Mus musculus: one gene and its partner. The protein of the gene in region 2 interacts with the protein of the main gene of each other region in a pairwise test. Links are inferred from orthologs where the notes say so. Each region holds a gene or a part of one and is shown on either strand. Other genes may lie near its edges.

Region 1 (4,441 bases), on a different chromosome or scaffold from region 2:
GGTATCATAAGAGATGGCCATAATTCCACAGATGTGCCCTTCTAATAGATCAGCTATGTCACTGAGCAGCGTTTATGCCTGAGACAGGTACATATAATTGATATAAGTGATCTAAAGGGAAATGCAGAAATAATCTTGCAACATTTAGCAGATCACTAACATCTTTAGTTACTAAGATGGAACAGATTGCAACAAAGAGTTGACCTGCTGAGCCACTGAGAAAGGAGAGCCCATTAACAAACAGGAAGTCTGTCAGATATCCTGGGCTTGCTCCTCCTAGGCAATCAGAATCAACCGAGCATCACTTAACTCCAGGCAGTTTAGAACACTTCATTCTAGACCTGGAGCCACAAAGGGCTCCCGAGAAAAACACGCCTCTCTTAGATCAGCCTCTTTTACTTTCCTTTATTCTTATGATGAGGTGTCTGTTCTCACGTCCCCAATTCCAGCTGAGAAAATGGGGCAAATACACACTTGATTGTTTTAGGTTGGCACAATTATGTTTGAAATATAAGATTTCTAAATTACAGGTACTAGAAACATTTTTGGTGTCTGATAGAGCTAAGGTTTTTAGTCTCCCCCTTTCATATGTATATCCAGTTAACACTACTTCTATGATTAAACTAATATCTTTAGTTCTTACCTGCTAATTTTTCAGTCCAAACCTATGTTAAAACAAAGAAGAAAGGCTCAATCTGAGACACTAAAATGGTTCGTTCACTCCAGAAATGGATTTGAGGGGCAGGAGAGGGGAAAGAGGGAGTGAGGGAAGGGAAAGAAAGGATTGCCAGAGCAGGTGGGGGAGGAAAGATGTTAAGAATCGATTTATAAGCACGGCTCAATAAAATGTAACAAAGTTTATTGGGCATAATCTTTCACAGTAGCCATTTCAAGAAATAGAAAGGACAAAGGTTTGAGTGTTTTCACATTCCAGGAGCAGTCATAAATATTAGGCAGCTCGTCCAAGAACTCCAGGTAAAGTCAGAGAACCATAGCTGTTTTAAGGTCTTTAAAGTTCAAAGTTAACATAGTCCCTTTTGCTTGGAAAACCTTTTTCCAGCCCTTTACCTGAGGTAATGTCTACCTCAGAGGTGAAGGGGAGAGAGGTAAGCCAGGAGGGGTCATGGTGGGGTGGGGGGGATGGGAGGAGAGGGGGGCTGAGGTCAGGATGTAAAGTGAATAAATAACTAATGGGGGGCTGGAGGAGGGAAAGTTAGGGTAGACTGGCTTTGTTCCCAACTTAGATTCCGAATTCGAGTTCCTTAGGAACACAGTTGCCAAGGAGAAGGAAGCCCCTAGGAGTGTCTCAGCTTCACTCCAGAGAACAAAGAGTTGGGAGAAGGCTCTACCGTAGGCTGCTCTTCCAGCGCAAGGCGAAGGAGAAGACTATGGGTTGAGAGGGAACCTGTGGGGGAACTGAGGGAGGGATTTGGGGTGAAGGAAGGATCAGGCTTCCCCGGGTTGGAGGGGGGAGGTTCCGCCCTCGCCCTTTCCACTGCGGCTCCTTGTTGTGAGGCCGCGGTCGCTTTGGAATTGGAAATGCAGCGCGGCGTGTTCCGAGCACCGGGTCCCCGGAGCAGTGGGTGTCGGGCCGCCGGACCCTGACCCTCCCTCCGCCCCGGTCAAGCCGGGCGCGCACAAGCACCTGCCGGGCCACGCTCGCGGCTGCGCCGGCCGCCCGCCCGCCCGCTCCGCCCCGCCGGCCGCCGTGTGTTTACGTGGAGACGAAGATGGCGGCGGTGACCGCGGGGCCCGTGCAGGCCGGCACGAGTCGCCGGTGAGCGCCCAGCGTGTCCCGGGTGGCCACGGAGCTCTGTCCGCCTCTTTCTAAACAGATCTTTCCTCTCCACTGCGTCCCAGCCTACCCTGCAGACGCCATGGAGGACGAGGAGAGGCAAAGGAAGCTGGCAGCCGGCAAGGCGAAGGTAGGAGCGCGGCGGCCACGGGCCGCGTCGGGAGGCGGTGACCCGGGGCGGAGGCTGGGGGAGAGGCCGGGCCGCGGGGCCGGGGCCGGGGCTGGGGCTGGGGCTGGGGCCGGGGCCGGGGCTGCGGCTGGGGCTAGGGGGCTGCGGCTGGGGCTGAAGAGCCGCCCTCTCTTGCTGCTGCTGGAGACCTGATGACTGCACCGCTCGGCTTGGTTCCTTTCTCCCCGGTGCCACACAAAACCCCCTCTCACCCCGGCTGTTAACTGCTAAGGAATTGCTTCGCAGCCACCACCCTTTCACTTTCTGAAGGGAGTTCAGGGAGTCGGCCAGGCTTTGTGCTTTCCGGAGCAAGGGTTTAGGGTTTTCTTTATTCCGGGAACACCCCTGCGCTGACCATCAGCCTGCCTTCTTGAGGTGTCACGCTGGCACTCTTGGTGTGTGTGTGTGATTGGCCTGTGACAGCTGCCTCGGCAGTGTCTTGAGTGTGCCACAAGTGCCAGCTGTGAACTTGGCTGTAGGGGCGTTCTTTTTGTTTTTTGTTTTTTGTTTTTGTTTTTGCCGTTCTTTGTATATTCGTGCTTGAGGTCTTTGTCATGGCAGGCTCTTTTGTAATGTGTGGAATGGAACTTCGGGGCATCGAAAGGTTCCATAGACTAAAACACCTACAGAATTGCTGTTTTAGATAATGTATTTGTTATTATGTATTTGGTAAGTTTGATTTTGTGTGGGTATGCGGGTATGGCAAGTCATGTATAATCCAGACTTATATGTAGGCATCTTCCAGTGGGCTTACTAAATAATTTGACACTGTTATGAATGGAATAGAATGATTTCTTTGTAAAATTACCTGTTTGAGCTTACCTTTGGACCTCCTTGCTCCCAAAAATGAAGTTACCTTTAAGATATAGTGCCTTTTTTTAAGACCTTATTGTTACTGGGAATAATTAAGTTATATTTTAAGCTTATTGTACTTGTTAGTTTGGAACTGTGATATGGAAGTGTTGTAAGCTAAATAAACCCCTCTCCTCTCCAAATTGCTTTGGTCATGATGTTTCATCATAGCAATAGTAACCCTAACGAAGGCACCTACCTTTCTTTTTTCTTCTCTCACATCATTAACAAAGGAAGCAGGTCAGTAATGAGTGAAGGGCCCTACTGGAGAGAGACGTTGGTACATGCTCAGCATTAGTTTGTTAAAGGAGTGTGTGCAATAGCTAATCTTGTATTTCTAGAATATAGTTAGTTGGTTTCCCATAAGCATCCTCTGTGTAAGGTCAAGATTTGAATGTGTCTCTGTGGCATTCTATAAATGGAGGGAAAGCCCAGCTTAGCTTCCCATTGTGCACCCCAAGGGACTGACCGGGCTCAGAGCATTGAAGGAATTGGAGGTGTAGTGTGCAGTCTTCCTCTCTTGTTCTCCCACCCTTTCTTTCTTTAGCAGAATCTTAGACTATAGTCCAGGTGAGCCTAGAGATCAATGTGTAGTCCAGGCTGGCTGGCTTCAGACTCTAGGGCAATTCTGTGTTAACCTTCAGAGCGATGGAATTCTGTGTGTGAGCTACTGTGTCCAGATAAGGTAGATGTCTTATTGACTACTTCATAATTTCTACTCCCTTCCCTAAATATATTCTGTGCTAAATATGTGTGAGGGACTCCTGCTGAGCTTTGTCTGCCTTCACTAGACCTGTCTTAGGGTTAAGTTGCTGCCAATAGATACTGGATTTATCTTTAGAAGAGATTGTGAATGTGGTTTCTACACATGTCTCTTTGTCTTTCAAAATGCTGTCTTTGTGGGGTTGGGGAGATAGGTGGTCTATTCACTGTGTGAACTGCTTGCTGTACAGGCATGTACACCGGGGTTCATAGTTGTAGCGCCCACACAAAGCTGGACGGCTGGACATGGTGGCATGCATCTGTAATGCAGGGCTTGGGAGAAAGGGACAGACAGACCCGTGGGACGTCCTGTCCAGTCCTCTAGCCAAAACACCAAGCTTGAGTGTCATCTGGACACCCTGTCTCAAAACATACTATACAAGGTGGATGGTGACAAGGGACAGCAAATGTGTCCCTGCACATAATTCATAGCTCTGCCTTTGGGGATGCAGTCTCTCTCCTAAAATTACTTTATTTAAAATATTACTTTGTCATAGAATTGCACCTACTCTCCCCATGAGGGTTATACCCATGTGTCTTATAAGTAGTTCTGGTAATGTAACAAACAGACACTGAGATAGCCTATGAAGACAACATGAAGAAAATAGTTTTCTCAGTTACCTGAAGGAATGTTCTGCAGCCATTACGCTTGTAGAGCCTCAAATGAACATGGGTCATAAAGTGCACCTTGTGTTTTCAAAAGCACTACATGTGTCTTTCATCTGTATAAACATGCTGCCTCTAATTAGGAGTGAAAAAAAAAACCGTATTGTGAATATAATCAGTGACTGGGGGGTGTAGCTCTGTGGTGCAGTGCAGAGCCCTGGATCCAGCTGACTTCATAAAGTCCCGTTTTATGGCAG
Region 2 (4,414 bases):
GGCATGAATTCTGGAAGAATGAGAAGAAACTCAAGTCACACAGCAAAGAAATACAGTGATGATCAAATCACTGTGACTGGCTTCTCCAGTCCAAGGCTATCTGCCTCTACTGCTTCTTTCTCCACCTCCCACACTGTTTTCCAGGGTGGGAAAATGTAACCATGGCTTTGGCTTTGGGGGACCAGGGAATACCTGGCAAGGTCAGGCTTTCTCAAAGGTGAAGCTTTTCTCTGGAGGGGGTGGGGGCGACTACCGATCCCTAGTAAAAGGTGTGATTTGTAACCCTACCTCTGCCTGCCTGGTGCTGGATCCAGCTTGGGAGCTAGCCATGGGCATGAAATCATGTCTAGTCCCGAGCTTCGCTTCTTGAACTCAGGACACAGCCATTTGTAACTTGGAGACTCAGTTTCCTCCCATCCTGTGCGCCGAATGAAAAGGAGTACGAGCTCGCGAGAGCGAACAAGATCAGGTTTGAAGCCAGCCCTCGGCCTTAGGTGTTCTCAGGGGATGGCAGTTAGGATTAAAGCCAGCGGACAAAGGGGCAGGGTCCCCCACTTCTAGACAACCTCTGAGGTTGTATGCAGTGGTGAAATGGAAATGAGATGGAAACTTCCTTCTAAGAGGAAGCTCCCTGGGGTTTTGCCAGTTGCACCCCGCCCCCACTCCACCTGCGGGTCTTAGGAGACGAACGCCCGGCCCGTGCCGCCCTCCCACGACTTCCCACGCACCCAGCCGTTGCGCTTGAACCCACTGAAAGAATCCCAGCTCTCGACGGCAGGAGTGTGGGAGCGACTGACACGCAAATCCGCTGACCCCGCCCGGGCCTGCCCTGCCCAATCGGAGCCCTTTTAAGGGTTGGGACCCTCTGCGGTGCGGGTCGCAGCTCTGCGCGGGGACACGACAAGTGTTTGCTGAGGACCTGGGCCAGGCCGACTGACTACTAGCACAGCACCGCATTGGAGATCTCTTTTTGGGGAGGCAGAGCAGCAGTAGCAGAGAGAGGGACAGAAGGGGGCAGTCGGGAGAGCTAAAGCCAGGACCTGCAGTGGTCGAGGGCCGTTAGCCCTCCGTGTACACCGAACCTTAGGGAAGGCAGGAGGAGACAGTCCCATGGCCCGCCCCCTCCCAGTCTAGTGTAGTGTCTGACCCTTATCCTGCCCTTCTGGTGGCTTGGCAGGCTAGAATGGGCTGATTCCCAGGCCCTGAAAGGAGTCCCAGGCCCTGAAAGGTGTCACAGGGGTGTCACAACTGGGGAGTGCTGGGTTTTGTGGGGAGAGCCAGTCCTCCCCTCCAGTCGTTCCCAGATGTCATTCTGCCCGCCCAGGCGCTTGGTTCCTGAGTTCCGGGGCATTCCACGGTTACTAAGTTACTGGTTTTTGTTGACTTTTAAATATTTTCTTCTACGGGAGAGGGGGAGGGGGGCAAAAGCCAGGAAAGAGCAAATAGAAACAAGTCAACTTAAGCCCCCCTCCCCAAAAGAAAGTTGCCCTCTACCCCTCATCCCTACCCCATCCAAAGGCCTCTGAAACCCATCCCTTGGCTGGAGCAACAGCCAGCCAGAACTGACTACTTCCCCGGCCCTGTCTTCAGCTCCCTTTCTGGTGAATGAGGGCTGGTGGACCACAGTCCCTTTGTCTCCCAGCCCTGGGTGGACAAAGGGGCTTCCGGAAAGAAAGAAAGAGGATGGCCAGCGGAAATGGGCTCCCTCCATCCTCAGCCCTCGTGGCCAAGCGTCCCTCCGCCCTGGGGCCATTCCCCAGATATGTCTGGATCCACCAGGACACACCCCAGGATAGCTTAGACAAGATTTGCCATGACATCTGGAAGCGAGTTCAGGGCTTGCCAGAATCCCTGCAGCCCAGGACCTCGCTGGAGAAGCACTCTGCTCCCGTGACCGCAGCTGTCAGCTTCCAAGAAGAGTGAGTAGTCCCCTGTTTGGTTGATAATCAAGAAAGGGAGAAAGGGGAAATGAAGTCTGACTTTGGGTTGAAATGCTCTGGCCCAGTGTTAAGCCCTGCACACATATCTCCTCCCCATCCCCATTTCTGTAATCTCGAGTCACTTTCGGTCGGAGGAGCTGGCCAAGGTCCTGAAGTTCCAGACGGGAGGAAAGAAACCATTCCTGGCAGCTTCTTTTTCAGCGCCTAAGGAGACATTTTTCATTCTAAAGACATACGTGGCTAAGATAAAGATCTGGGGTCTTTGCAGGAGCATTATTGCCAACCTAAGGGTTAGGTGACTCACTACTGCCCCCAGAGGCAGCTAGATGATCTTTAGCCCTTTCCCAAGAAAAGTCCAGGCATTGGCACAGATGATCCTGGTGGTTGGAAACCACATCTGGAATCCCCTAATACAGAGAGCAGCTGTCCCATTCAGCATCCACAGAGCTACTGCAAGAGCGCACATCAAAATATTTACTGGGAAGGCATTGACATATTCAGAGGACATAATAGAAAATTAAAGTGCGGAAGATGGCTGTAAATAGCCGGTTTCCCAAATGGGAAATCCCCTGCCTGTCGGGGAAACACAGAGCTAAGTGTTTCAGTACTAGGGAAAAGTTGAGGAGACAGCCATTGGAAAGGAGAGGAAGGAGCATAGAGGAAGACAGGATCTCATTAGGAAAAGGAGTGCATCAGCTGTGGTGATTAATGCCGCTGCTGAGTACTCTTCCAAGGCTCTGCATCTTCAAAGTGGGCTGCACGCATTAATTAATCCTCCCAGCATCCCTATGAAACAGGTATTAGTGTCCCCATTTTACAGATGGATTAAGTGTTAATAATTAAGTGCTAATTAAAGCCTAAGTGATAATTAAGTGTTGTCTGCCCTCAACACATGCTCCGACTCAGTTCATAGATGCTCTGCAGTGTGTGTGTGGGGGGGGGGGGGGCACATCATCCAGGCATTTATCAGCTGCCTCTGGTTTCAGGGCTCTCTAAGCATCACTGAGGTGGAAAGCAAAGTCGAGCTGATGCTCAGGTCTGCTCTTGCTGCAGCAGTCCCTTTGCAAGCGCCTTTGCTTGCTGCAGATGAAGGCGGAAGGCATGCTGCCTGCTCCTGCCTCCTCTGCCCTGTGCTCAGCAGGACCCGGCTCCGATGCAAATGGCCTCTCTACAGCCAGAATCCTGTGGCTAGTCTGCTCAGTGGCACTGGGCTCCTTTGCCCCGTTCACTGCCATCTGCTTTGGGACAGTGCCTTGGCACAGGGAACCTTGGGGCTACACTCAGCTCTCTCAGTGGCCAAGTAGCTGATTGTCCACTTTCTGGATCAAAGGTCAGCAGCAATTTCCAGTAGATAGCCCCTTCCCTGCCAGGTCACACCGAATTCATGGAGACAGACTCTACTTCCAGTCTGCACTTGGCCGGAAATTGACCTGGAATACCTCTGGCCGGTCGCTTCTCTCCATTTGGCTTTGAATTCCTCATCTGCAAATTAAGGATGATGCGCCCTGCCTTGTCCACCTCTGAGTTGATAACGAGGGCTGAATGTGATGGGAAACAAAGAAATGAAAGATGCATTATACAAACAAGGCTGCCTTAATGTGGAGTTCATCTAATTTGGGGGAGGGGAGGCTACTTAGTTGGCTTCATCTAGGGTTTTGGTGTTGTGCTCCACGATCCCAGGAGCCTTCAGAGAGCCTCCCTGGAGTCAAGTGGGCTCTTGGCTGGACAGTTCTCTTCTACACCTACACACACACACACACACACACACACACACACACACACACACACACATACACGCTCACACTTGCACTCGTTTCAGCCTGAGTTCTTTAGGTGTTTGTCAGCTTTATTAACTGGAGTTCTGAGTACAGTTGCACTTGGAAGAGTTCTGAGAGGAGATGTGGGAATCTGCTGACTTAGATGAATAGACCACATTCTAATTGTATCGCTATCCACCCAGTAGAACACAGTGAGTGGGCCAGAGAGCGAGCTAGCAGCTGCTTCTTGGAACGAAAGATAACCAGGTCCAGCCCAGTGCTGGCTTTAGAACCTGAGACTGTGATAACCAGGTCCAGCCCTGTGCTGGCTGTGAGATCGATCTGAGCTTTGGTTTCCTTGTCTGCTGAGTGGGGGTGAGGGTAGGGGTGGCTGGAGGTGGCAAATCAGGAGGACTGTTCTAGGGTCCTGCTGGTAAATAGGATTGATAAACTCATTCTAATGACAGCAGTTATAATTTCTGTAAACCCTGCAGTTTTTGCCTGAGGTAGTGAGAGTCCAAGTGTGTGTAGATATAAATTTCCATAATTACCAAACTGTACTGTTCTGGTTTTAACTGTTCCTCTCCCCCTCTTTAAATGAGACCCAACCTCGGTTATTTGTTTGTTTTCTTGAGATAGGCTCTCACTATGCAGCCCAGACTGTCCTGGAACTCATTATACATGCCAGGATGAGCTCAAACTTCCAGCCTCCCAGAT

Evidence for each region.
Region 1: the proteins of CK137956 (region 2) and Akap9 interact in binary tests that used the Homo sapiens proteins (3 or more experiments, as listed by UniProt). The two-hybrid records come from large-scale screens. The link is inferred for Mus musculus from reciprocal best matches to the Homo sapiens genes C1orf94 and AKAP9.

The regions. Positions count from the first base shown.
Region 1 is NC_000071.6:3,926,566-3,931,006, forward strand, and holds the start of Akap9 (A-kinase anchor protein 9), read left to right. Parts: upstream 1-1,620; 5' UTR 1,621-1,877; coding exon 1,878-1,925; intron 1,926-2,023; exon of another isoform or gene 2,024-4,441. UniProt on the Homo sapiens protein: Scaffolding protein that assembles several protein kinases and phosphatases on the centrosome and Golgi apparatus. Required to maintain the integrity of the Golgi apparatus. Required for microtubule nucleation at the cis-side of the Golgi apparatus.
Region 2 is NC_000070.6:127,968,026-127,972,439, reverse strand, and holds the start of CK137956 (uncharacterized protein C1orf94 homolog), read left to right. Parts: upstream 1-1,598; 5' UTR 1,599-1,605; coding exon 1,606-1,919; intron 1,920-4,414.